4 linked regions of the Astyanax mexicanus genome follow. The protein of the gene in region 4 interacts with the protein of the main gene of each other region in a biochemical or structural test. Links are inferred from orthologs where the notes say so. Each region holds a gene or a part of one and is shown on either strand. Other genes may lie near its edges. The genes, in order: cdca5, hmga1a, rgcc and cdk1.

Evidence for each region.
Region 1: of the proteins of cdk1 (region 4) and cdca5, one has a biochemical effect on the other in vitro, tested with the Homo sapiens proteins (2 studies listed by BioGRID). The link is inferred for Astyanax mexicanus from reciprocal best matches to the Homo sapiens genes CDK1 and CDCA5.
Region 2: of the proteins of cdk1 (region 4) and hmga1a, one has a biochemical effect on the other in vitro, tested with the Homo sapiens proteins (3 studies listed by BioGRID and IntAct). The link is inferred for Astyanax mexicanus from reciprocal best matches to the Homo sapiens genes CDK1 and HMGA1.
Region 3: of the proteins of cdk1 (region 4) and rgcc, one has a biochemical effect on the other in vitro, tested with the Homo sapiens proteins (2 studies listed by BioGRID and IntAct). The link is inferred for Astyanax mexicanus from reciprocal best matches to the Homo sapiens genes CDK1 and RGCC.

The regions. Positions count from the first base shown.
Region 1 is NC_064408.1:21,133,398-21,140,728, reverse strand, and holds the start of cdca5 (sororin), read right to left. Parts: upstream 3,027-7,331; 5' UTR 2,830-3,026; coding exon 2,778-2,829; intron 1,022-2,777; coding exon 942-1,021; intron 225-941; coding exon 162-224; intron 67-161; coding exon 1-66. Other genes in the region: zfpl1 (zinc finger protein-like 1), read left to right, coding at 5,773-5,874, 5,976-6,087. UniProt on the Homo sapiens protein: Regulator of sister chromatid cohesion in mitosis stabilizing cohesin complex association with chromatin. May antagonize the action of WAPL which stimulates cohesin dissociation from chromatin.
Region 2 is NC_064420.1:49,603,293-49,611,303, reverse strand, and holds the start of hmga1a (high mobility group AT-hook 1a), read left to right. Parts: upstream 1-5,007; 5' UTR 5,008-5,149; intron 5,150-6,980; 5' UTR 6,981-6,989; coding exon 6,990-7,076; intron 7,077-8,011. UniProt on the Homo sapiens protein: HMG-I/Y bind preferentially to the minor groove of A+T rich regions in double-stranded DNA. It is suggested that these proteins could function in nucleosome phasing and in the 3'-end processing of mRNA transcripts.
Region 3 is NC_064418.1:27,770,694-27,777,583, reverse strand, and holds the start of rgcc (regulator of cell cycle RGCC), read right to left. Parts: upstream 3,024-6,890; 5' UTR 2,893-3,023; coding exon 2,859-2,892; intron 2,714-2,858; coding exon 2,540-2,713; intron 1-2,539. Other genes in the region: zgc:101559 (ras-related protein Rab-33B-like), read right to left, coding at 6,177-6,611. UniProt on the Homo sapiens protein: Modulates the activity of cell cycle-specific kinases. Enhances CDK1 activity. May contribute to the regulation of the cell cycle. May inhibit growth of glioma cells by promoting arrest of mitotic progression at the G2/M transition.
Region 4 is NC_064421.1:44,353,960-44,361,086, forward strand, and holds the start of cdk1 (cyclin-dependent kinase 1), read left to right. Parts: upstream 1-4,108; 5' UTR 4,109-4,266; intron 4,267-5,445; 5' UTR 5,446-5,458; coding exon 5,459-5,495; intron 5,496-6,044; coding exon 6,045-6,201; intron 6,202-7,127. UniProt on the Homo sapiens protein: Plays a key role in the control of the eukaryotic cell cycle by modulating the centrosome cycle as well as mitotic onset; promotes G2-M transition via association with multiple interphase cyclins.

The sequences.
Region 1 (7,331 bases), on a different chromosome or scaffold from region 4:
GGACCTCTTTCTGTTTCCGGCACTGGATCTTCTTTCCACATTTTCCTTGATAGGCTCTGATGGTACCTGTGACCAAAAAAAAGCATGGTGTGAAGAAATATATGTATAATGAATGAAAACAAGAACAGTGCTTATTTATCAATGTGCTTATTTGTAGTTACCTGAGTTTTCCTGGGTGCAATTTTTCGTACAGTGATGGAGCGTTTAACAGAAACGCGTGGAACCTGAAGAAGCAAAGAGGCATATAAATCATTAATAACATAATATGCCTAAAGGTTTGTAGACACATAGTCATATGCTTTAAAAGCCTATCCTCTCCTGGAAAGGCTTTAAACTAGGTGTTAAAATCTTTTCTGCAATATTTTATTGCAATTAGCCACATTCACATCAGGTACTGATGATGTGATACCTGTCCAGCGCAACCCACCGCATTTATATAAAAAGAGTATACACACTGTGTGCAACTGAATGCTTGTTTAAGCAACTTGCGCATCTCAAAGTAGCGAAGTTTTCTAATCAGTGGTATACGAATGCTTTTGTGCATCTGGACCTGAGCATGTATACCAAACCACATACGATTCTTAATGTACACAACACAAATGACTGTACTTTACAGAAATTATAAAGAAAGAGACTGGCACATGGATAAAATATGAATTCTTGTTACTCTAAACTTGGTATGTACTGATAAAGCCCAAAGTTGTAAAGTTGGTGGAAAAGTGAACAGATTTGCCTATTAGGGCTTTTGTTTACTTCTAATGATGAAGCACTACTTTTAAATACTACTTCTTGTAGTAGTGTGCTGTTTTCGATGCACCTTTGTTTTTTTAACATATTATTCAAAAAAGGTTTTACAGTAGGTCAGATTCCTGTAAAATAATGTAATCTAGCTTTATATTTAGAGAATAGTTTAAACAGTGAACATCCAGCAAAATTCTCACCTCATCTTTGGGGGGCAGGTTTTCTTCATTCCCCGACAGCCTTGCTGATCTCCTTCGCTGTTGGCTGCCTTCATCTGTTTCTAAGAACACAATGCACAACTAAACTTACCCAAACAAAAATGAAATGTCATAATAATTTGATTCAGCAACTCTCAAAAAGATTTTCAAAAGTCAGTTAGAGTGTTACGTTAAATTCTAAGAGTGTATTATGAACTATTTCATGATATTTTAGCAATATAATGAAGAGGACATCGCTAATGAGGACATTGCAACATAACACTAGTTCAACTACTGCCAAAAAATGTACATTTTATTATGTGCACTTTATTTATGAAAGGTCCCAGCAAACACACTTAGACTGTGACAACCTATTGTTTGGTGCCTAAAACACTGTCAGACTGTACATTTATTAATAGCAATGCACTAAATATTTGGAAGTAAATGCCTTTAAAGTTTGCCAACCAAAACTATTAATTTAAATATCTGTCAGAATGGAAGCAATTAGACTGGAATCTCATTTAGTTCTGTATTTCTTATTATACTTTTACTTAACTTCTCAAAATTGGTACTTCTGCGATTGCTTTGTCTTAACAATGCATTGCTGATTAGGTTATTTTGTTTTTACAACTGTAATTTTGTTCTCGTCTGGCCAAGAAATTAATTTGGTTCAGCCTAACTTTATATTAACTATTAATTATTATTAACTATTAATTATTAACTAAATTAGGTTGTGACAACATTTCTCAACAAACATAAACAGAACTACCTTTTAACAACATTGTAAAACCATTAAAAGAAAGTAGACAATGCTTAAATTAGTTGTATGTTTGTTGGAGAGCTTTCAGGGCTTATACTGTCTCGAATAAACAGTTTAACATGTATAAACAATACATTGCTTTGTGAAAATGAGTTTTTGTATTGCTTAATATAGGGATGTGCCATATAATTTTGTACGCAATTATATCGATTTTATACCCTGAAATATAGTGCCATATCCAACCTTTTATCACATCAGGTTACTACTTTTTGCTGTTTTCAGCAAAAGAAAAATAAACACTGTTTTCAATCCCTGTTATATATCTACTAGAGACAGATTATAACTGTGCAGCATCATTTATTTTACTTTAATCCTGGATATTTGAAGTGCTGATATCTAAATTAGGTGTTTTAGGGGTGATATTTTGTGCAACAATATAATTTCCTTTTTATTTGCCGCAGTAGTGTAGAGTATTGTCACACAAATGCCATGCAATATCATGATATTGTCTTAAGGGCCATATCGCCCACCCCTAGTTTAATATTTACACTAATATGTAAGGCTCCCTTTGTTGCACTTTTAAGAGAGAGTAGAACTGAAATGGTCTAATGTTAATGTTAACCTAGCCAGCTGGCTAACTGTTATGTAAGAGCTTGAGTTCAGAGAAGGAGCAGTCCACAAAAAGCACACATTGGTTCCATTAATTTCTATTAGATAATCATTAGCTAGCTAACTAAGACACTCGAACCTATTATTAAATTAACATATTTTATCAGAATCAAACAGGACTATAACATATAAGTTAACCGAGCTAACAGTTAGTTAATTACCACTAGTTAGTTTCTTAACGCTAGTAAGGTTAGCTAACGTTAGCTAACTACCCAAACAGTAACTTAAGCTAACGTTAGCTTATGACAACACAGCGTTAAAATAACTATAATATTTAGCTAGCCTGGCTAAGCAAATGAAATAGGAGTTGGCCAACCTAGTTAAATAACTTAGCTAGTTATTGTATTAGTTATGACTCTGCAGTACAGAAATAAAGAGTTATCGTGGGCTGGTTCAGTTCAGTCACTCACCTCTGCTTTTTATGAGGCCAGTCGACGCTGACCGCGGTGTCCTGCTGCTCATTTTTAAAGTTACTCAAAAAAGTCAAAAAGTAGCGAGCCTGCTGCCCACAGAAAACGCGAACACATAAAGAAATATGTGAACTCCAAAATTCCGCGCTCGGTTCAACTAAATTCGAGATATTTCTCTCACTAGAGAAACGCGAGCTGCCCGGCGAGCTTTCAAAATTACCCGCCTTCCTAACAGAAATGGCGGAACAACAGAGGGACTCGATTTGTGAATGAATCGTTTGAGTCGGTTCATTTGAACATTTTAATTTCAAGCTGATTCGTAACGTCCCCTTCAGTTCGGTTACACGTGAAGGATTACAATGATATAATAATAATTTTACTGTTTTACTTACACAAAAAAACCCACAAATATCATGAAATGCGACACTGTAACATTACAAAAATGCGTGAGTTTAACCAAATCCGACGTGAGATTCATTAAAACGGACAAAAGAATCGGTTCGTTGTAGGAATCGAACTACTCATCTACCAAGCTCGTTTAAAACATTAATTAATTATTAAATATATAGTGAGTGATTTTTTTATTTATTAAAAAACAATAGAAACGTCAGATAATGCGTTCCTGACTTATAATAAAATATTATTTCTAAAATATATTTAGAAATAAATGTAACACAAGTTAAAAATAGCGTCAGTTCAACCTTTAATCCGGTAGGCGGCGCTGTTTGTAACGTTGTCGTTTAGAAAAAGTGGCTGTGTCCCAATAATTGAATAAGTAGTGTGCTTTGTTCGACGTTCTCTGATCTGTAGCTCATGGTCCCGTTTAATATAATGGCATAGCTGGTGGGGATGTGAATTTCCAGGTTTGTAGATCAGGCAAAACTAAGAAGAGCAGGCAGTAAAGACGCTGTACCAAACAATTTAAAATAGACGCTCACGAGTTATTATCAAATTTCGCCCCCTATTTTAAGAAATACTAAGTTATATATTTTTAAACCTTTTTCGACTTTGCATCCATTGGACATGTTATGTTTTCTACTTTCTTATGTATTTTTTCACTTCACACAGATTAAGACCTATTGTCCACCAGAACAGACATGTATTATTGAAAACAAACAGATGATTAGCCCGCCCACTGCATTGGAAAACTAAAAATCTGCTCACTAAGGTAAAACATGGTAGCATCCCTGCTAATGTGGCAGGTTATGAGTTTTTTATTGCTTTGTAATTTGTAATATATATATATATATATATATATATATATATATATATATATATATATATATATACATATATATATATATATATATAATAATAATAAAAATAGCATTGTTGATCAAATGACTGCACTGCAATAAACAGACAAAATACAAATATTATGTTTAATTTCTATTTTTTTATGTATTTATTTACTGAATTCTGTTTTTGAGTACATTACAGACATAAAGAGCATTTAGATATCTTATTCATCATTAGAACAGGTTAGGTCTTAGAGTGTTGAAGAAAAAGTATCTGAAAACATGTAATTTCTTTTAAGTAAGCAAATAACACCATTTGGTATAGAATCACATACTCTTTTAAAATCAGTAATTGAACTAGTTCCGAATTTGTTGCAGAATTCAGATCAGAGTAAGACATACAACTGTGATTGGCTAGAAGACTTTAAACAAGAGCACACAGAAGTGAAGGCTTTACAGGAGTATTGGGACACAGCCCATGTGCAGTGTGATGTCATTACTCTGCGACTGTAGCGGAAGAGACGTGGCAGAAAAATGCTTCCCGATAAATGCATCACAAATATGAGTTAGATTAGCTGGACCAGGACATTTTTCACAGTTCTGAGCTTCAGTTTAAAGACACGGAGCTTGACTGAACCCGCGCTGTCTCGGTAAGTTTAGTAATGCCTCGTATTCGTCCCTGATTTTACTCTAACGGGGTTTTGACAGCTGGGGTTAAACGCCCCACTCTAAACACAGCTAACAGGCTAACTTAGCCAACTAGAGAGACAGGTAACCAAGCGATCTAATATGCGATAACAAGACACTGAAAAATCATACAGCTTAATATTTCTTACCCACAGCGTTAAAGCTAGCTAAACAACATACCTACCTATATAACCTTGACACAGGTTTATTTACTTTGTTATTTTAGGTGATGTATCCCCCCCTGCTCCATACATAGGGTACGTCTACTTAGGGCGTGGAACAGCTGATTCTGAAACCAACTATTTGGGAGTAACTTAATATACCTACTAAACTAGCTTGCTAATTAACATTTGATCACACTGAGGCCACTAATTTGTTCTGTACTTTTAAAAGAAAAGGATGGGTGTGTTTCTAACCTAGCTAGTTGATGTGGTTATATGGCTATATGTCAGTGTATTGTCTTATTACTGTTTTTCCTTATTTATTTTTTTTAGTTTGATAAAAGCCCACTTTATAAAACATTAGGTTACAGTCCAGTTGGCCTTCGTTTAAAGTAATTTAATGTAATAAAATATTAAACATCAATCTATGTTTTTTATCTATCTGTTTTTATATCTGTCTGTCTGTCTACCTATTTATCACCTATTTATTTATTTATCTTTCTATCTGATCAGTTATTTAGTATCTCAGATGTATTAAACTCTACTAAAGCCTGAGTAGAATAATCAATCACTGTGCTAATCAGTTATTTATGTCAGTTTCCTATATGACGTCTGACAGACATAATTAGGCATGTTTGTGTCTTTATTTTCATGCAACAGTATGTACTGTAGAAAAATGCATAGGTTGTATATGGTGATAATGTAAGGGTACAGGCCAGTTGTCTCTGATCCCTTTCTATGGCCTGAAGGTATTACTTAAATTTGAAAGAATGTTTCCGTAATAATCAAACTTGGCTCAAATGTGCAGCCACCAACTTTCTATGTAGTGTACAACTATTTGGGGCATTGATGCACTGACATTTGTTTACACTAATTTCATGTGTTTGTGTACAGTTCGACAGGCAGACCATGGGTCTGTGTAAGTGCCCGAAGAGGAAGGTTACAAACCTCTTCTGCTTTGAACATCGGGTCAATGTTTGTGAGCACTGCCTTGTATCCAATCACAGTAAGGTCTGTAGACTGATTATTGTGTATACAGATCTCACATGTTGGCTGTCCGCCTTGTTCACCTTCAAATGTTGACTGTGCTGTTCTGTTCCGCTTCTGTGCAGTGTATAGTACAATCCTACCTGCAGTGGCTCCAGGACAGCGATTACAATCCCAACTGCAGTTTGTGTAATCAACCTCTTATTTCCCAGGACACTGTGAGGTTGGTGTGCTATGGTGAGTCAGTCCTTTACATTATATTTCATGGCTAAATCAGCATGTGCATGCCGTGGCTAGATGAATAATACTGCTTAGCAGCAATGGCTGGTTATAATACTGTGTAAGGGTGTTAAAGATAACTCCTTAAATACAAAGTCGCATCACATGTGAGCTGGGGGCCTTTCTCAGTTAGAGGAATGGAATGATGGTTGATTGGTTGGACATGATGCAGCTTTTTGCACCCAGTTGAGGAAATCAGCTATACAGTAGGTTTGTCACGATAAAAAGTTTGTTTGGAGAATATATTTTTCCAGAAAAGATTATGATAAACAATAGTATTGCCATTTTAAGCCAATTTATGCCACAGATATAATGATGCTATAACAGCGTTATAATGCAATTAGACCATTTTAAAGAGCAACAGACTTTTCATTATGAAGAACATTCAGCCATCAGAATTTAAATATTTTTAAAAGTATTCTAAAAAAATAAAATAATAAATAAAATCAGCTCATTAAATTAATGGGTTCTCCTTAAAAAAACATATTGGAGAAAGCAAAGGTTCAGCAAAAATCCATGTCACAACCATGTATTAAATTATATGTTGTATGTATGTATGTACCTTAAAATGCATACAAACATATAAAGCGCATTTGTCTGGAATGTCTGTTAGAAACTCCAGCTGTTCATGTAGAGCAGTGGTATCAAAATCAAAATGTTAGATAAGCGGCTATGTTACATACAGTACAAAATCAGATGGACTGGACCTGTTTTTGTTGCATCTGCTTTGTTCAAGAAAAGATTTCCGACAGCATGAAATTCTTAGAAGTTGAGTCTCTGCTTGCCCTTTGCTGGCAAAAGAATCAGGTCTTTGGCCTTAATCTGGCACTTTATTTGGCATGGTAACTTTGTTAATGGAATGGGATGATTGATTGATTTAGATTTTTTTTTCTTTATGTAAAATTACACAACACTGAACAGCAGTCAGCATATATATATATATATATATATATATATATATATATATATATATATATATATATATTACACAACACTGAACAGCAGTCAACATATATATATATATATATATATATATATATATATATATATATATATATAATTTTTTTTTTTTTTTTTTATAATTTTATTTCTAATTTTTCCCATTTTTCTCCCCAATTTACACGGCCAATTACCCAACCCACTCATTAGGACTCCCCCTATCACTAGTAATGCCACAACACACCAGGAGGGTGAAGACTAGC
Region 2 (8,011 bases), on a different chromosome or scaffold from region 4:
CATTTTATTATGGTGGAGTCCCACAGGGTTCTATTTTAGGGTGTTTCAAATGGTTGTAAATTATGATAGTAGTGCATTTATATGTTTTATAGATTGAAGAACTGATTTTCATAAAGAGTTTAATGGGTTAACAAAACGTTCTGACCCAAAAACACTTCTAAAATCACTTTTACACTGTTTAATGATGGTGTTCTTACTAATTTACTACACCCACTACTTTAATGACGACGGGAACAAACCTACAATACCAGTCAAAAGATTGTATATACCTTTTTCCTTTATTTAATTTATTTTCTACATTGTAGATTAATATTAAATATATGAAAACGATTAAGGGACACATATAGAATTATGTAGTAAACAGTAAAAAAAGTGTTATTCCTCCACATTAATCCCCTGATCTAAACTTGATGAACTGAGATTTAGATGATTTGAGGTGATTTAATTGGGATGAGCTGGAGCAGCAACTATTGTTCAGCACCTCCAGGAACTCCTTCCTTCAAGATGCTGAGAAAACTATACCATGTGACTCTCCCTCATGAAGATACTGAGATTAAAATTCTTAGAAGAATTTAAAGTATAAAACAGATTCTGGTTTGTTTAAAAAAAAATTGAAAATCGAAAAATTGAAAAAAAAAAAAAAAAACACTGAATTGAATGAGAAGAAGAGGTGTGTCCAAACTTTTGACTGGTACTGTATATACTTTAAAACCAACAATTGTCCTTCATATTTTTTGTCCTTTGTATTTGTTTGCAAAAACAAACAATGAAAGCCCATTCCCTTAAAATAAAAAAAGACCCACAGGGTTCAATTTTAGGGCGTATAAAAATGAATGTTAATTATGAAATGAAGAACTGAAGTGGGGCCATCATACAGAGTTTAATGTGTTAACAAAAACCTCCAATACAAAAAGGAAACCAAAAAACTTTTTCACTTTTTGATGATATTTCTCTTACTGCTTATTGCATCCAGTATATCACTGATAAAGGGACAAAATCTATATATTTAAAATAAAAATAGATGTCCTTCACATTTTAGTACACTGTGCTACATCAATAAGAACCCTTGGGCAAGACTCCTAACACTACATTTTCCCATTTCTGTAATAGGAATAACCTTGTCGCTATGGAGCATCAGCTAAATGACCTAAAACACAATTATAATAAATGAATATATAAAAATACTTATATATATAGGATAGGTGAGTCTAAAACCAAGCAATTATATTGATATAATTTTAGTTTTTTAAGAGACAAAGTCATTCATTTGAAATACTGACAGTAAGTGGTGGTTTTGAGTACCTTTATTGATATTTTAAGATGATTAATGCTTATTTCTCTTTATTTCCTCTTTATTTTGATCTTTTCCTCTTATATTCTTAGGCACATTATGCTGTTAGACTGAATAGTAATTCAATGAACAATAAACAGATTAATATAAATGTTAAAAATACTTGGAAATAAAGTAAAAGTTTAGTTCCTGAAAGTAATAAATTGAGTGGTACAATCTTTTTGTGTGAGTAACCTTTGTGAGTTTGCTTTGCTTTACTGTTGGAACACAAACTAGTTTATTATGTTATCTGTACAGCACTGAGTGTTGAATCTGAATGGACTTTACCCCTTGAACCGTAGCTTTATGATAGGAGTTAATAATCCTTCTGCAGGAGCTTTTTTAGGACTATTAGGTAACCGTTTAGTTTAAGGTTTTATATATGGAGTTCCACAGGGTTCCGTTTTAGGGAGTATCAAATTGTTTAGAGTTATGCCAGTAGATTAAAGTTTAAAGTGTTACATAAAAAGTCTGAATCACTTTTTTTATACTCTCAGAGTGCCGAACACATCAAAAGAATAATATATGACTTAAACACAAAGCTTTATTGTGGCAGGAGCTAAAGTCTAATCATTTTACAGCATGAAACCTGTGACACTGCTATTGTTTGTTAAGAGTGTAGTAACAGTTACTAAAACAGGTACTAGTATCTTGGATAAGACTTGAGCAATAGTATGTTCTATCGAAGAATCATGTTTTTCTATACATTATTATATAGCATAATTCTAGAAGGCCCAAATTTATATTGGACTATATATAAAATTTTAATTTTGCTTATTTAACGTTTCTAAAAATCTTACGTATATATGATATTATTATGTTGCTGATTGGATCGTAAACAGCCATAGCAACTTAAGTTGAGTAGAGTATAGGGCAAGGGAATGGACGCTATGCGTAAACTCATATGTTAGGTGCAGAATTTATTTCTCTGCTATTGATCCATTAAGAAATTGTGAGGCAGTGTAAGGGACAGTTTGTGTGTTCAAATTATGTAGTAAAGGAAACATTGATTTGCCCTGTAATGTAATTTTAAGGATTCAAATGAATTATACCACTAATACAATGATAATTATAATAAATTAACTTTTGACCAACATTTGTTTCTTTTTTTTTTGCTTTTAAAAATCAGTTTATTTCCTCTTTTTGATTTTTAATGGCATTTTCCCCTCTTATATTACTTTTACTTTCATATTTAAATCAGTTTTAACATCAGTACATTTAAACTTTTACTTAAAGAGTAAAAAGCTTGAGTTGAAACTTCAACAGCTACAGAAGTATTTTATTAAACCATAGTATCTATACTTCTACCTATACAGAGTAATGAATGGGTAAATAGAGAGAAATAATAGCGATAAGTGTTTAATAGTTTTGTCATTTTAGGAATACCAACTTTTTTATACCACTGATACAATGATAATTATTTTTCTCCTTGTTATTTAATCACAGTTTATTTCCTCATTTTGATTTTTAATGGCATTTAATGGCATTTTTCCTTAAACTTCTACCTGAGTAATAAATGGAAATACTTCTCACAACTTTGGTCTATTTATTAGGAAATTGTGACACAGTGTAAGGGGCAGTATATGTGTTCACATTATGTAGCATTAGCAAACTAAAAATGTATGTAAATGTTATACAAAAATAAACTGCAAAAAAGTGTTTAATAATATTGTCATTTTTAGAATGTTTATTTCTTCTTTTTGTTTTTAATGCCATTTTTCCTTATATTACTTTTATTTTTATACTTTAATTAGTTTTTAAACCAGTACTTTTCTTTTTAATTAAAGAGTAAAAGCTTAAGTTGATGCTTTAGCTTCTTCTTCCTTTTCCTCTGACACCACTTTTATACTTTAAGTAGTTTAGTAGTAAAGCTTCAGCTTCTACCTTTGGTCCATTCATTAAGAATTTGTGACGCAGTGAAAGTTTGTGTTCAAATTATCTATCGAGCCAAAAATTAGAGAGTTCAAAAGTGTTTAACAGTATTGTAATTTTAATAAAACATTTTTATACCACTGATACAGTGATAATTATGAAAAATAAATACTTCCTTTGTGGAACTAACCTTTGACCCACTTTATTTCTTCTTTTTTTATTGCAGTTTATTTTTTATTTTATTTAATTTTCCTTGAGTAAAAACTCGAGTTGATACTTCAAATTCTACAGAAACATTTTAAAACCCTAGAATATACTAATATACTTCTACCTGAGTAATAAGTGTTTAATAGTATTGTCATACCACTGATGGTATACAATGATAACTAACTTTTGACCATCACACTGCCATCTTATTTATAAACTCCTTTATAAACTCTGATCCTAAAACGTCAATGGGCCCCTGATTGAATAAAAAAAAGGTAGATCCCTAAAAGCATTACAATTTGATTTGATTTGATTTAAGGAAAAAAAGAAATGTGTTGAAAAAAATATTAAAATATAATAATAATAATAATAATAATAATAATAATAATAATAATAATAATAATAATAATAATTTGAGAAAATCTTGTGGCGGATCTCTGGAATGTTTACTTGCCTTTGAGATAGTTGTTTATATGTTGTTGTTTTTCCTGCTTTCATTCTTTTTCGGTTTATCACTGTAACTCTTTTAAACTTCAATAAAAAAGAAAAAAAAACTTTTCACAAACACAATTTACCATTTTTTTGGGAGAGAGGCCTAAATTTTGAAAATAAATAAATGTAATAAAAAAATCACTGTGAAAAAGGTGGAAAAAGTACTGAAAAATTCTAATTAAGTAAAAGTACCTTCACTTTGCTAAAAATAAAAGTAAAAGTAAAAGTACCCATCTAAAAATCTACTCGAGTAAAAGTAAAAAAAATAATCAATTTAAAATGTACTTTGAGTAAAAGTTACATAGTTACTTTTATTTATTTGATGTAAAAAAAATCAACAAATCATAAATTAAATAAATATTAAATTAAATAATTTGGACCAGTATTCGTTCAGACCACCCTACAAAACATTTTCAAGAACAAGTGGCATAGGTTTCTATGATCCATTTTTTTCTTTACTTGTTAAAAAGTTATGGTCATATAGGTGACTATTAACTGTATTTTTATAGATTTACAGTTCATTATTATTTGTTTAACTTTTCATTGCTATGCTTTAACTGTTTTTAAAATGATTTACATGTTTTGTTTTGTTTTTAACATCCAAGCAGATTAATGTTTAATGTTCCCAATAAAAACTTCAGGAATTATTATGAAAAACATAAAAAAATACAAAAAACCAAACAAAAATGTTGGTCGACGCATGCGCAGTGCCGTAAAGAAGCACATATTGATGGGAAAACTTTTTTTTTTAAATTCAGACAATTTGTTTTTTTTTTTTCCCCAGCATTTTATTTTTTACTCAGTTTAACGGGGAGAGTTTTCCAATGTAGCGAAGTAAATTACTTGTGTCAAAATGTACTTGAGTAAAAGAACTACTTTAAAAATGACAAATTACTCATAAAATCTACTCAATTACAGTAATGTGAGTAAATGAGTAAATGTAATAAGTTACTTTCCACTTCTGAATTGTCTTAACTCTGAAAATACACCCTTATATTATGTAATATTGAATAATATTGTGTAAATGATGTTAAGGTGATCTTTTGTGTATAGTCCCCTGCTTAATTACCATATATAACCCCGCCCACCTCGCTGTGGCCCGTGAGGAAGCCTGTTTAAAATGCCCTGAGAGACAGCCGGGCCTTCAGCAGCGCCTCACTCCCGCACACCGGGCTCACCGCTCAGCACGCACCCAGCCTGGGACTGCCCTCAGCCTTCTCACCGCCGCACTGCTTAGCTCCAGACCAGGTACTTCCTTTATTTACTCATTTAAACTTCCTAAATTCTGCTTTATCTCCTGTTCACAACCTTATTTTACCCTTTTATATTCTGATTTACTATCCATATAAAGCACAGGGGGGGTTTAACCAGGTTAACTCGTGCTTTAAAAAAATGCGACCGTTCTTTACAGCGACTTTAGCGGCGATTATCTGCTTTATTTCAGCTCCTTCTTCGAGTTTGAGTCGAGGTACGCGTTGTAAAACGTGTTAACAATTTTTCTGATGCGTGATTCATTGTGAATTTGCAGTAAATTCGCTGTAAATCCGTCTAAAATCGAGTGTATTTACGTGCAGGGCTAGCTAGTTTGGCGCTAGCTTAGCACCACGCATGCTCAGTAGCTTCATAACGAGCTATAGCTAAAGCCTTTAGTGTGTGGCTCGTGCTTCATTGTTCAATGCAACGTGCTGCTGCTGCTAATACAAAAAACCGCCTTTGGCACGGTGTTAAAGCACGATTAAAGCACTTAAACCAGCTTTTTAAGTCGATTCGAGCGCGATTAAATTAATTTAATCGATTAATCGTGCTGCATTCGCACGTTCTTCCAAAAAAGCAACAAAAAACAGGGTGGTTTAGGGTGCCTTTTGTTGTTTGTGCGCCACCGTGTTTTTGGCGCTCAAATGCATGCAATCTGGCGCCAGTCTGGGCTTATGCATACATGCATGCTTGCATTCACGCACGCCTATGCACTAACTAAAGCATTTGCATGTATTTACTTATTTTTGTTCTCGTGCATGCTTTTAATTTTTTATTTTATTATAATATTTCATAATGCACGCCTGCTTATTTATTCTGTCTGTGTAGTGATATAAATACATGCATATGTTGTAATTTCGCTTTATTTTTGTGCTGTTGGAGCCACGCGGGCATCCGTAGCGAGTAAACTGCTTTTTTTTGGATTCTGGAATTGGCTAAGGCTGTAGCTAACTTGTGCTTAAAATGGGGATGTTATCAGCTTTATTCCAGCAATGGTAGCTCTCGAGATTAACACGAGATAATAAGGGCTTTGAAGCACGTAAGATAAGGTATTATCGATGCATGGTTCATTGAGAATTTTGTAGTTATGTAGCCAGCTATAGTGCGTGCATTTTTATTTTTTTCAAGTTTAAGCATTTTAAATATGTGTATAGAAGTTGTAGCCTGCTTATTCTTTAGCTTTTGTGTCGAGTTAAGAGTTTGAAGCACGTGAAGCACTCTTCATTGATGCACGATAAACTTATTTTTGGAGTGTATGTAGTTTAAGCTATTTTTATTAGTTCCTTTCTTTTTAAATTCATGCAAATGTTGTGCTTTCAATTTCAATGCTGTTGCAGCCACAGGGGTATCTGTAGCTAGTAATCAGCATTGCCTCGATTTAGCCAGCTAGTGTGAGCTAACTTGTTTTAAAACGTGTAGACTAGATTATACAGGCTTTTGTTTTGCTTTAACACTATTAGTGTAGTATACTATAGCATAGTATGAATTAAATTGAGATTTGAAGGGTTTTGATGCATGCGAAAAATAAATAATTTTATTGATGCATGATTTGTTATACATTAAATATGTGTAGGTAGCTACTTACATGCATGCACAAATTGTGATTTTTTTTTTTTATTATTATTTATTTTGCTTTTGCATCTAGTAATCAGACTGCTCACTTTGGGAGAAGTTGCATAAACAAGAGATTTTGCTTGCCAGCTATTTAAATTTCTTTCCTTGGTTTAGGGTTCTAGACTGCAGTGTGCATGCAGTTTTAAAGCTGCAGGACTAAAAAACTGAAGGTGTGCATGCATTGATTTCTTCTTATTTCTCTTTCCCAAAGTAAGTCAACATGAGTGACGCCAAGGACGCCATGTCTCCTAAAGATAAGGATGGAGCAGAGAAGAGAGGCCGTGGAAGACCAAGGAAGCACCCACAGGTAATGTGCAGTAATGCAAGATACTTAATTCTAGATAACTAAGTGTGGTACAAGCGTATGCAAAAAAGGAAATTCTCACAAAATAACAGTAGTTATTAATAACATTTTATAATGCTAAATTTGATGTAGAATGATGCTTATGCCAAACAAGTTAAAGTATTACAATTCTTGGTATCCAAATGTGAATTAAACAGACGTTAAACAGATTATACTACCTACTTGATTAAAAGTTGGGGCACGAGGTAAACCAGTAAAACCTACATGCTCTGCAAATGCTGAGGTTTTGAGCTAATGCACAGAGTGTTCTTCACAATAGGTGTCATTGCATGTGAGGAAATGGCATGACTCATTTCCTTTTTACTGGTAAGAATCAATACTAAACAATATGGCAAAAAAGTAAGTACTTCAACTTACTTTTTAAAGTACACACAATTCATAGCAGCTCGTACTTGAATGAATACAGTGAAATATATGAAATTGTCGTATCTTGTAGTAAAAGGACATTCAGTAGAATGCACAAAGCATTTTTAGGTTTTAACTTTTAGAGTTGCACTGATCTTAAAATGATATAGTTTATTTCTATACAAAATAAACTGTTTTAAAACCAGCAAGCATCACCTGTAAACATGTGCTGGACTAAATAGAGAAAGATATAGTGACACATATGTAACAGGCTGCAGTACTACATTTACAGCACTAGGGCTCCTGTAGTTTTATAAATACTCAGTAATTTGTGTATTTAATGCATGAGTCATTAAAATGAGTAATCTTGTGTAATCAATTACATTTTATTAAAAAGGGTTTTAACAAGGTCCTTAAATTCTTAAATTGTTTTACCTACAGCAAATTTACAGTAAATGTGTTACATTTTAGGCGGTGCATTTAATGCACAAAGTTAATGATTATGTTTTTGTGTTTATTATTATATATTTTTT
Region 3 (6,890 bases), on a different chromosome or scaffold from region 4:
GATTCATGTGACCTGAAAATGACACCCTATAATCTCCTGGATGTGCTCAAACCCACTAGGTTAGTTCTGGCTGTCCTCATATATCTGTGTGCTCCCTAAGCTCTCTCTGCACAGCTCCTTGTGGCTCTTTAACACTGACAGAGTCTGATCCACACTTAGAACTAACTGCTGGAAGCCTGCCGGAATGCTCCCAATAACACTACCTGTTCAGACAAAGCTGTGAACATCAGCTGCTGTTGTTCCAGGCATTACACACCATCTCAAGAACCTGACATAATCTGTACTAGCACCACATGGCATCAGTCCAACTCTGAAATGGAGACTGACATGTCTGAATATGTTGTCAAAGAAGAAAGCAAAATGAGCACAAGCCCATGCCTTAAGTAAACATCAAGAGCTGAGCTTCATTCTAAAGGGAGTGGTTGTGAGGGCCTTCACTTGACCTCCATATACCTGCTTTAAGATAGATCACTGAGAAGGAAATCTGCCACGTGAGTGCTGCCTGCAGATACTAACCCTGGCTCTCTAAAGAGCATTTCATAATCTGGTTTCAGTTGAAAATGCCTATGGGTGGGCGATACATCAATGCTTGGCAAAACAAATATTTCTTTCTTTCTTTTTTTTTTTGATTGCACCAGCAGAACAGTTACAAGAATTTATTTTAAAATGATAATCATAAATAACATTAAGGGCTGTACTGTAGTCTCCTAAGCACAGTGACCATTATTTTTATTATTATTATTATTATTATTATTATTATTACATTGTGATTATATGGCAACCCAGCCAATGTTCTCATGTAGAGCTAACAAGAGTGGAATGTGGGCTTGGTATGTTCCAAGTGGGCACAGCTCACATGGGTCTCATCTAGGTCCCATGTGCCATGTACAACCCAGTTGAGGCCCATGTCTAACTCCAACTCGTCCTATTACTGACCCTGTTGGGGCCCCATCACTGACATCCAAATGTGGGGCCTAAATGGAACCCATGGACAAACATGTCTCCATTACAAGCATGTCAAACATGCTTCTTCAGAATCAGCATAGTTTGCTTATTTCCCTCCTTTAACAGAAATAGCTTACATAACCTGTTAACTAACAGGCGACTTACCTAAAGGTAAGTCTTTATGTATAATACATTTCTCAATCTTGGTTCTGGAGGCCCACTGTCCTGCACTTTTTAGTGCTTTCCCTGCTCCCAACACGTGATCCAACTAATCATCTCATTAACAGCCCATAATTAAGTTAAAGCGGGTGTGTTAAAGGTGGAAAAGCACTAAAATGTGTCAGTCAAGTCAGTGAGTCTCAACTATGAGTGTTGGAAAAAACTGGCTTGTAAGTATTGCCCCAGAAAACAGAGGGCGTTATAAGAACGTTTAGCAACGTTTTGATTAGAATTTTTCAAATTTTGAAACTTTGAAACTTTAAAAGTAACATTTCCACAACTAAAAGTTTGAAACTTTGACACACGTGGCAATTAAAGGCATTCAATAAATAAAATGTCCTAAGGACATCCATAAAGCTTGAAAGAATAAAGGTACTAAAATTACTAACTGCAACGTTCAGAAAAGGTCAGTGTAACGTTTTGCTGACTGTATCAAGCTAAGTTTGAAAATAGAAAACTGGGTATAAGTCTTTATCATTTTTTTTCCATTCAGTTGAGTGAAGAAGAAATGGGGTTACAAATAGAATTTCATATAATATAGTTTTATTTCTATTCCCCCCCCCCCCCCCCCCCCCCATTTTCTCACCAATTTACACAGCCAATTACCCAACCCACTCATTAGGACTCCCCCTATCACTAGTGATGCCTCAACACCAGGAGGGTAAAGACTAGCATATGCCTCCTCTGATACATGTGAAGTCAGCCACCACCTCTTTTAGAACTGCTGCTGATGCAGCATTGCTAAGTAGCATCACAGCGCTCGGAGGAAAGCGCAGCGACTCGGTTCTGATACATCAGCTCACAGACGCCTTGTGCTGAGCGACATCACCCTTTGGAGTGATGTGGGGAAAGGTAGCTGATGCAAATAGAATTTCAAGAAAAATGAAAAGGCAAATCTTCTCTCAATTTTCAGATTTCTCAGATTTTGTGTCTTGTAACACAAATCTGATGTTATAACCCAACTTGCAAAATGCAAAAATGGAAAAATCAGAAAATAAAGAAAATAAATTTTCCTGAAATTACAATTGTGAGGGGCTGAAAAAACTAAAATTGGAAAAATGGATAACCACTTACTTCTTGTACACTGCACTACATTAAAAAATGAGTTTTTACTTCTCGAACAGTCAGAAGATTATATTAATAAGCGTTAAGTTACACTGACCAGAAAACGTTCTACCAACTAAAAATGTGTTAGCTGGGTAGGTTAGTGAATATGAAGCACAACAGCAAGAGCAGCAGCAGCTTTCTAAGCCTCCTCACAGTCTCCAGTACAGTTAGTTCTTTTTTACTGCTAATCTTATCAGTGATATCACTGCATGTATAATCCTCTCAGGATGAGTGTGTGACTATCTGTGAGTAACTCAGCAGCACTCACTCTCTGAGTCGCTGATGCCGCTGTCACTGACGCTGGCGCTGCTCCTCCTCTTCATGGTCTTGAGGTGCTCGTCGTATCTGAAGTGTCTCTTCTCGATGGGGGAGGTGAAGTCCTCGATAACGGCGTCGAACTCGCACAGCACGGCGTTCAGGTCATCGTCCTCCTCCAGAAAGGCTGGAAACAACAGCAAGAACAAAGTTTAACACTTCAGTATACCTTAAACTGAACTAAATATATGTATGATAAACTAAACCTGTACAGGTCCTAAAGCTCCACCACGAGGGTGGAGAAGTGCCCTACAGCTCACTACTGAACTCACACTTGCTCTGAGACTTCATCTTTGGAGACTTCATGCTGGGTCAGGTAGCTGCTGTCTATCCCAGAACTATTCCAAAATAATGATCCAAATCAGTAAAAGTGTCGCTCGTGCCCCCGCGCGCTCTCCGCTCTGAGCTCTATACGCACTCCTGCTGCAGTAAAAGCAGCCTGAGCGCTTTTAAATCTTCCCCGCCTCCCGCCGGTGGGCGTGGCCCGAGGCGGAGGCGTGGGGAACGTGAGGTAAACTTCAGCCCCGCAGCCGGTTTTAGCTCCTTCTTCACACAGCGTGCCGTCATTTCTCCTCTGAGTGTGAGTAAACTGAATAAACATGCAGCCCGTAACATACAGTTCCTCTTTATTTATAATCAGGAGTCCACCCTGCCCTCACATACCTTACACATTAACACGAGGTACAGTCATCATCATTCACACAGAGGAAATAAATATATTTATATGTATTTGTGTATTAATAGACAAATATATACACATATTTTATTCCCTGTCTTTATTTTAAAACTTTTGACTTATGTAAACATTGTGTAATATTGTTAGAATTTCTTTGCTACTGTGTTTGCCTTTTCTATACCTTGGGCTACAGTAATATGTGAAATTTGCCCTGGGATTAATAGTGTCTTATAAAATACATTTGGACACATCTTAAATTCAGTGCCTTGTAAACATCTGCATAGTAGATTAATACTTAAGTCATCCAAACTATAAAACAAAACATTTGGATTTATTTACTAAACAAAAACGTGTTAAACAAACCAGAACCTGTTTTAAATTTTAGATTTTTTGGCTGAATTTTCTACGTCATCTTTATGAGGTAGAGCCACCTGGAAAGGCTTTCAGTTAACAGCTGTGCTGAACTGGTCAAAAGTAAATTACTTGAATTTCTTGCCTTTTAATGTGTTTGAGAGCATCAGTTATAACTTAGTCATGGTATACGCAGTGAATAGCCTGATTGAGTAATGTTCTAATCCATATTATAGCAAGAATTACTCAACTAAGTAAAAAAATATATATAAGAATGAAGGTCAGTTTATCCAAAAAATTTCAAGGACTTTGAAATATCCTCAAGTGCAGTCGCAAAGACTATTAAAAGCTTTACGATAAAACTGGCTCTCATCAGCACCGCCTCAGAAAGGTTTACTACATGATTCTTTGTGTGTTCCTTCATAACAAACATTGAATGAGAAGGTATATAATCTAAATGTATGCCCATATATATTTTTTCATTTAAGGGAGGGAGGGACATAAGTTTTAAGTGGGAACTCCGGGACCACATTAACTCAATAACATTTATATAAAAAATGAGAAAAAATATATTTTTTAGTCCATACTAAAGGGCTGTTCATTCGTTATTTTTTCCAACAGTGTGGGTTAATCTGAATAGAAAACCAATATAATAAAATATATTGCTGTTCTACAGACTCTGTTTAGCCTACAGCGCGAGAAGCCTCTCCTCTATAATAGTGAGTTTGTAGGGACACCTGCTGGTTTGAAACAGTAACTGCATTTATGATAGAAATACGTTTTAGAATGCAATAGGTTCTCAAGACTTCTTGCATCTTCATGGTAAATTAAGCTTTTTTTTCTTTTCGTGTGAAGTTGTTTTTTGGAAATATACAATATGTTTTTAACTGACTTTTTTTCAATCATTTTATGTAAGGATATGGGTGGCTGTACAGCCATTCTTTTTTAAAGCTACCCAAGCATACTTAAGAGCAATTATTTGTATATACATATAAATAAAAATATATACAATTTGTTAACTCTGTAGTTTAGCTATAGCAAAAGTATATACATATGCCTAGATCATTTCTGTTTGTATTTGTACCCTGTGCTCAATTAGTAGGAGTATTTAAAGGGCTAATTTCTGTATTTTCTCTACCCCTACTGAGGTGTGAAATCCAGCACGTTTAGCATTTTACTACACCTACATTGCCTGGTTTAGCACATAGACAACTGGCAAAACACAGAGTGTGTTTGCATCTGCACTTTCCTGATGGCTTTCAAAGCTGCTGTGCGAGATAATTACATACACAGTGTCACACAAAGTGACAAATATAACACCTCCTGTACGGAGAACAGGGCTTTGTTTAGTTCACAGGCCCAAAATGTGGATTAATTATGTCAATATTATTGACATATGTACTGTATTACATGCTATCATAAACTGTATTTACTTGCATCATAATGAATGTTTCAACTTAACATCTGTCATGTAACACACATAACATATGAAACTATAAAAATATGCTAATAAAAATATATATTGGTTGTACATATAAAATGCAATCCAACAGTTGCTTTCCCAAGTAGTTTAAACAAATGAGAAATAATGAATCATGTCCATGTTTATTTTGACATTTCATCAGTCACATACACATTTATGACACATTCTTTACCATTATTGAACATAAGGGAGTGTTAAATTCCAAGGACTTCCAGAAAAGTGACAGACAAAATGCATCATCAATACAAGCTATTGTCTTCCACCAGTATGGTCCACATTCACATTTACAGGAACGGTATCTTAATGGATTTTGTTGTTTTGCTGTATTAAAAATGGCTCCAACATCACACACTCAATACTAAGAAGTATCAATCCTCTACAAGCTGAGTGGGAGGATGCTACATATTTTGTTTCCATGCTCATAATAAAGTGCCTTGTTATAAACATCCCTCATTATTTTACTTAAACTGAATTTGATAAACAGTTTAAAACATACGACAGTGTTGTTTATATTGATCAATAGCAACACTCATGCTTTTCTCAGCAACTGATAATTATTGTAAATCACATTTTATCCAATTCTTGTTCACATCAGACATTTGAGGCCGTATACAATACTAAGCCTGTGCAAATAGAGCAAGTGTTCCAAATTGGCTGTAAACATGCAACTGCTGCCAGACCGTTTAGCTTGTCTCCTGTGTTCTTTTGAAATTATATAGTATAACCATGTAAGAAATGTATGACACATACATATCTTGTATGAATACTGTATGAGTCTGGAGTATTTGATATGAATGAATTTAAACTATTTACAGTAAGTGATCAAATGATCCAATCAACACTCTCAGCTGGTTCCTTTTTAACTCCTAAAACTAAGTATAGTATTTGATTTCAAAATCATTCTGTTTTATGTAAACATTTAAACTGGCCTTAGAGAGTGAATGAAAATGAAAACACAAAGGATATGTGCAGTCCTTCTGATCAGCAATATTCCCCATGCTTTTGAACATTTGAAATTAATGCCATCTTTAGTGTCTTCTCAGTTACTTAGTGATTCATAAGTATTTAGGCCACATTAGCTCAGCAGAAACAGGACTCCTCCTTCTCACTATCTGAATTCATTGCAACACCTTCACTTGGCTGTTTCAGTCTCAGGGGCTTGTGATTCTTTAGCTTGTAGGCCAAGGTGAGAAAGATGGCATCCACATGCTCTTTCTCAGCAGGGTCCTTAGCAGATGTCTCGAAAAGGGGGAAATTGTAGCTGTCAGCTAGACGCTGCGCCAACGAGGTGGGAACCTCTCCTCTTCCTAGGTCACATTTGTTCCCCACCAAGATACGGGGCACCACAGGAGGGACGGCATGGTGGCTGCATTCTTCAATCCACTCTGGCAGACTCTCAAAGGAAGCGAGATTGGTCACATCATACACAAAGATGACAGCATGGACATTGCGGTAGTAGTGTTCCACCATACTCTTTCGAAATCTCTCCTGCCCTGCTGTGTCCCAGATCTGCAACTGTAAAAAAAAAGGAAAGAAATATTTAATTTCTTATCATCCACAAAAAAAAACAGTATTGCTGCAGCTCTGGGTTTGCAATCATAAAGCTTCTTAGCACAAACACTGGTGGAGAATCAGATTAATCTCTTTTGTATGATTTCTGATAGGAACAGGAGTTTCATCAAATCATTAAAGCTTAGCAGAGGGCTTCAATCATGGACCTGATCCTGTCTGTTAAGTGATCATACATGAAAGATTCTAAATCAGTGCTACAAATTGGAGATAATTTAGAAATGT
Region 4 (7,127 bases):
ACCGTATAAATCCAGGGTAGACTTAATTTATTGGTATACTCAGTAGAAAAAGTGTTGTAAGAAGGAACAGTAACATTACAAAGTGGGAAATGCTTTGGCATTGCCTTTTTGGAAAGTGTTGAGGCCTGAAATGCAGGAATGGATGTTTAATAACACATAAAGTTGAAGTTGAGCAGATAAAACATAAAATATCTTGGGTTCATACTGTTTGCAATCAAAGTCATGATAACTCTAACATATCTAACTTTTGTGTTGTGTTGTAAACCATGATATATAAAGACATACATTACTCATCTATTGGCTTTAATTAATTTATTATTATTTACAATCCATATGAATCCAGAGCATTTTTATTTTAAGTTATTGTTGCTTTTATCTAACAGGCTCCTTTATTCATCAGTACATGATGGTCCCCTCAGCCAATTAGAGCACAGTAAATCTGCATATAAATGTATTTGGGATGCTGGAGTGAGGGTGTGTTTAATTAAACTCAGTTCCTCTGGGTCTGGGTCTGAATGAAAGCTTTTGTTCCTGTATGAAGGGAATGATTTCTCTGCAATTATAAAATCCTGCTGCGCTCCAGTGCCTCTATTGTGTCTGTATGCAGGTCAACTAAAGCCAAAAAGCAAATACCCAAAAATTCCCCAGTCCCCCCTCTTCCATTTAAATGTAGTCAGAATGTACCTGCTGGACTGTCTGAGGTGAAACAGACTAAAACTAGAATAAGTTTCTTCAGCTTCACTTGGCCTGAAACTTATTATGCATCAGGATCATATTCTCTGCCCGTCACTTACCTAAAATATAAAGGTATTTATATAAAGGTTTATTTGTGATAAGTGCCACACTTAACCCTTGTGTGGTGTTCGGGTCTGTGGGACCTGTTTTCATGTTTCATCAAATGATACTAAAATATATTTTTTCTAACTCATTTTTCTAACGCATTGGCTCATTTTTTGTGAAAAACATATATCAAAACACATTTTCGATAATCACACACTGTACACCCCCCTCCCCAACCATTTATATTACATACAGTATATTTGGCCAAGGGCTAATAAACATTGCTTCATTTGTAAATTTGAAACTAAACAAATTTTCTACTCATATCTTGAGTTAAATTCATTTTCTTTTACATTTTATTAAAAAACTAATAAAAAAAAGAGTAGCACTTTTTTAAAAGAAATGTAACATAAGAAAGGTAAAGGGCAAATATTAACCATGTAAGCTGTTTATATTGCTTGCAATTTAGGTGAAGCAAGCATGTGTAAAGCATTTTAATGTAAAAATTGCTTAATTTTGCTGAATTAAATACAAGTAACAAAGTAAACGAGTAACAAAAATATGAACCCCACACAAGGGTTAAGGGAAAAATCATTTGTGGTGTAGTGAAACATGATAACTAGTACAAACTTTTGTTGAACAGCCCTCCTCCTTTTGCCCCCAGCATTCTGAAATGCAGTGCTTTTAGCTAATGCTCCCAACAGGCTTACAATGCTAGTGATAAAAAGAAATCCCTATTTTAAAACCAATAACATGCTCAATGTAGCTCCACACTTTGAAAGTGCACAGGTAGTTTATTTTAAAAGACTGTTTATACTCACAGTACCTTGCCATCTAAATTCAGGTGGATTAGCGCCCCTTTAATGGTGCAAATATAGCGCTTTATTTGATTGGCAACACTATGCCCCTATTACTAGCATTGGGAGCATCAGCTATAGGCGCCGTATTTTGGAATGCTGGGGACGAATGGAGGTGGGCTATTCGCCAAACGTTCATAGCCATTATCATGTTTCACAACACCATTATGTCCATTACACCACTACAAGTTAATTTTACAGTGGGTTTCTCCTTTAAGGTATTTCATGGTCACATCTGTTTTGCAGCCAGCATTATCCAAACTTATTTTTGCTTGCTTTTTTTAAAAGGGTACATAATGTGTGTAATGTGTAATGTTCGTCTTCTAAAGTAGTATGCTAATGTAAACCTCACATTTTAAGCATTGTTTTGGTTTAGTCAGGCTTGTACACAAGTCTTGTTAAAACTGCGAAATGTTAAATGGTCCACTTTTTCCGCAATATTTTAGCATTTTATCAGAGGTTTATGACAATAACACTGATTATTTATTTGTTTTTAAATAATATTTCTAGGACTATCATTGTTTTTGACAGGCAAAATGTGTAATACATTAGTAGAAAGTTGTTTTAATGGGAGTAAAATGTGATATCACTACAGTCTGCTGTGCTAGGAGGAACATTTTTTAATGACAGCCAGTTTGTCTTTTGTGTTAGGGGTCTTCTAATTTTACTATAACACAGTGTCACAGTAACAGTACCTGTAACATAGCGCCTTTGGTGTGTGTGTTTACCTTTACCCAATAATGGCCTGATCATGACCGTCTGGAAAACAGGCTGTACAGAGGAAACAGCGACTCCACTGGTGGCCCACAGAATTACACTACACTTATGAGTCGTGCTGCAGTGGCCTCGTGTGGCGGCGCGCGATACCCATACCTGTCAAGTTTTATATTTAAAAATAAGGGATATTTTCCTCCGTCCGCTTAAAGTCGTCCCACCAGCCCAACCAAGATTTAGTATTCCTTACATTTTAAGACAGGTTTACAAGAAATCTAAAATAACCACATGTGAACCACTTACACACTAAATTTAGATTATCAGAATCTGATATACCTCTGCGCTCCGCGAAACCAGCAAGCTGATTGGCTGTTTCTCCTGAAAGGCGAGACTTTCTCCTTGAACCGGCACCACGATTGGTTAAGAGACACAGATCGGTCAGTGCCCTGTCTCCTCAATAATAAAGTTTTTTTAATTTTAATATAATACGGGAAATTTACGGGAAAATATTAATACGGGAGGACGGCGGGAAAGAGGAGTAAAATACGGTAGTTTCCCGGCCAAAACGGGAGACTTGACAGGTATGGCGATACCTCATGTTGTAAACAACTCCACATTAGTGATTAGAGGGCACATTTCAGGCACCACTAATGTCCAAACACTACCCCTTAATGATCCATTAGATACACACACACACATGCATAATTAATACACTTAAAGGAAGGGACCAGTGCAATCTGTCTTGTGGTCCTCTGAGGCTGGGTCAATGTTTTATAGCTGGCGAAAGCCTATACATAATGCAGGTTTGCCCCTATGTTTTAATGTGCCCTATGTTTGTTCTATGTTTACAGTGAATAGTTAGATTAAAAAAATAACAGTTATTATTTACCCTATATGTAGTTGGTTATCTGTGGCATATTCTGTGTCCATGTTAGTGCTGGAATTACAAGGCCACACAATATTATAGTCTCATACTGAGACATATTTCCCATATTGGTAAATATCTGGATGTCCAGTTAAGAGTGTGCTGATAAAAAAAAAAAAAAAAAAAACGGGTGTCGGGTGTTAATTGGGTCATATTGTTAGTGTGAGTCATGCATATATATGTACCAGTTTTAGAACAGTTCACTTTTTTTAACTTTCCAGTAGCAGTGCTGTATGGCCCGTAAAAATTTGTTTTTTCATTATTTTGTCATCTTAAAATTATCTTAGCAATGACTTTATTGTTTCACTTTACCTGAACAACTGAGACCTAATCCAATGTATGTTAAGCTTAGCTAAAGATGTTGCATGTTACATGTTCCAGCACTGCTTTACTACAGTTTATTTTTATTGCTACAGACCAGTGCTAAGTTTTTAACCAATGACTTCTTTCCAACCACCCCTCCCTATTTTTGTTTAATATATGTTTTGTATATGCTTATTTTACAATATATATTTTCTTCTTTTTTTAATAAACATTTTTTCCTTTTTTAATGATTTACACAACCCTTTTTGGTGTATTTTTACAATATACACACACACACACACACACACATATATATATATATATATATATATATATATATATATATATATATATATATATATATATATATTTTTTTTTTTTTTTTTTTTTTTTTTTTTTTTTTTTTTTTTCAGGTATGGATTTCGTGACATTATATCCTTCGGTCGCGCTGTAAAGTACACCACTCCCGCCGGAGCTCTTCCTCCACCTGATTGGCCTGTTTAAAATCTGTCAGTGTGCTGTGATTGGTCCGTTTTGAATTGCGTCAGCGCGGTCAGTTTGAACGGGAGGAATTCTCCAACAGACAAGTTTACCCTCACTCTTACATACACACACCTTTACACACACTCACATTCACTCTTTTTCACACACTATTCTGCCGCCGGACAGCGTGTTTAGAGGACGCGGGTGAGTGTTCGGGCGCTATTTTCTGCGAATGTTTTATTTGGTCCGTAATAATGTTCAGTTAAAAGCGGAGGAGTTAGCATCAGTGCTAACTGTAGTCAGATCCGCTTCAGCTTTAACTCTAGCTGTCTGCCTAGCGTTAGCTTAGCTTAGCTCGGTCAAATCTGCTGTAAGTACAGTTGGTTTTTTTGTTTTAAGTAAACATTAGCTAAATCATTAAAACGAGTAATAGTTTGTGTAGCTTTTTATCTAAATTAGATAACCTAGGTTAGGTGACTTATGGAGGACAGTGACAGGAGACTGTATAACCATGAAGCCCTAATTTCTGCTGAAGTCTTCTTTGACATAATTAATATCAAATGTATAACTAACTAGTTAACAAGCTTAGAAAGACAGTTTATCACAGGCTGGTGTGTGTGTGTAGGTTTATGAGTGTGTGTTAAACGGTTTTATGTACTTAATATGACATTAAAATGGTGTAGGTTAAGTTCTGTAATTAGCTACAGTGGGACTCAGTTTGGGCTGTGTGCCAAAAAAATAAAAAATAACTGTTAAGTTTTTGTTGTTTAGTTAAACTATTGTGGTTATAATAAACATTTTATCCGAAGGGCTGTTCAGAAACAGCAGCTACTGTAACACGACTGAGCCTGAACAAGAAAACAAAAGGCAGTCAGAATATATAATAGATACAAATATATATATACAGGTAAATCTTATAGAATAAAATGCACCTTTTTTAGATGTTGACATAAAATGTCAGGATAAAGTAACTAGCTAATTACATGTGTAGCCCAAGCTCTGTAATGCAATGTTAACTACTGTAACACAAATGGACTTAAGCAGGAAAACTACAGTGTAAAGGCAAATGAAACCCCATTTTGATGGCTTTTATAAATACCAAGATTGGATGTTTGTTTGAAATCATGCAGTCAGTATATGTGTAGTTATTCATGTTTTTAATAATAACAATAAAATCCTTTTTAATGCAAATGTAATTGTTTACTGCGTTTAGTTTAAGCCACGGTACGTCTGAATCTGATTGTCTTGTGTGTCTGTGTGCATAAATACAGTTGTCTTTAAAAAAAAAAAAAACTGTACTGGTCTATACTGTAATTTTACAAACCTTATGACATTCTACAGCTGCAGAAATTTTTAAAAGACTGAATGTGTTTCTCTCCACAGAAAACTGATAAAAATGGAAGACTACATGAAAATAGAGAAAATTGGAGAAGGTGAGTGATAACTGTGCATTAGTATCTTCAGAAACTAGCCTGACTCTGATTTATATTATTCAGCTCTGGAAAAAGAGACAGCTTAAAAATGCTTAGTTTCTTAGATTCTACCAAATTGAAAACCTCTGGAATATAATCAAGAGGAAGACTGATGATCAAACCAAGCTAAACTGCTTGAATTTCTGCTCCAGGAGTGGCATAAAGTTATCCAAAAGCAGTGTGTAAGACTAGTGGAGGAGAACGTGCCAAGATGCATGAAAATTGTGATCAGAAAGCTCTGCATCTTTTTTTTTTTCTATTTTCTGGAAATAAATGCTCTAAATTAATTTTTTTTGGGGATTTTGCAGAAATGTTAAAACAATTTTCATTTTACTGAAACATATACTTTTAAATAGCAAAATCAGATAAACTGGTTCAGAAACTGAAGTGGTCTCTTTTTCCAGAGCTGTATTCAGTGTGTGATCATATTGTAACCAGCAGTAATGCTATATTACGTACGTTAGTCTTATTGGTGGTAAGAATTGTCCTGTGTGTGTTGTCCTGTCTTAGGTACATATGGAGTTGTGTATAAAGGTCGTCACAAGTCCACGGGTCAGGTGGTGGCCCTGAAGAAGATCCGCCTGGAGAGCGAGGAGGAGGGGGTCCCGAGCACAGCCGTCCGAGAAATCTCTCTGCTCAAAGAGCTTCAGCACCCTAACGTCGTACGGTGTGTACACTTGTATATCTATGATGTGTTCTCATATGCTTATACTACACTTTTATTTAGGTAATTTTTTTTTTTGTGTTTTGTTGGCTCAAAACTGAACATGAAAAAAAAATAATCAAAGTATATTGTTTTGCTATATGTATAATTTTGTCAAACAGTACTGATTATTAATTATTCCTTTATATTTAGGAATTTGTTAATAAAGTTCACTCTTGTTTAAACCATTTAATCCCTCTAGGTAGAAGTGTTACACTCCACTGTTGTGATTGCATTAAAAAATACAATTCTTTTACTTATAGTATAAAACATTATGTATAAAATATCACTTTAATTTTTTTTTATTTAAACAAGTGCAGTTTATTGACTTGTTTACAGTATCTGATATAGTGTGACATATTGATATATTTATTTGCATAAATTGTACACTTATTTGTGTAAAGGTTTGCTGCACTATATCCAATTAAACAGGAGTTACAACAATCAGGTTTATTTAGTGGCATTATCCACGGTGTTTTCCAAAAAGCAAAAGTTCATGACAATAACTGTGTCATAGTACCCTAATATAGACCTGCAAACATGTTTATATTTTGTCTTACAATATTCTAGTTTGAAAAGCAAGTTTACAGCGTAGTACCTGCTTAAAAATATGATAATGACATATGATTAATCACATAATATTGTGTAAATTTAATACAGCTAATTGTTTTGATTGACACTGAATTATTATTTAATTTTCCCAATCGAACAGTGATTAATTTATTTATATTTAAGTATTCACTATTTAAAGCTTAAGGAAATCTGGTAGATCACATGGTTTACACATATTTAAACTGGTGATTTTTAAGTTTTTTTTGTCCTCTCCCTTCTTCCTCAAGTAAATAATTGTTCATTTGTTACTGCCCATTGGAGTTATAGAGACCTTACAG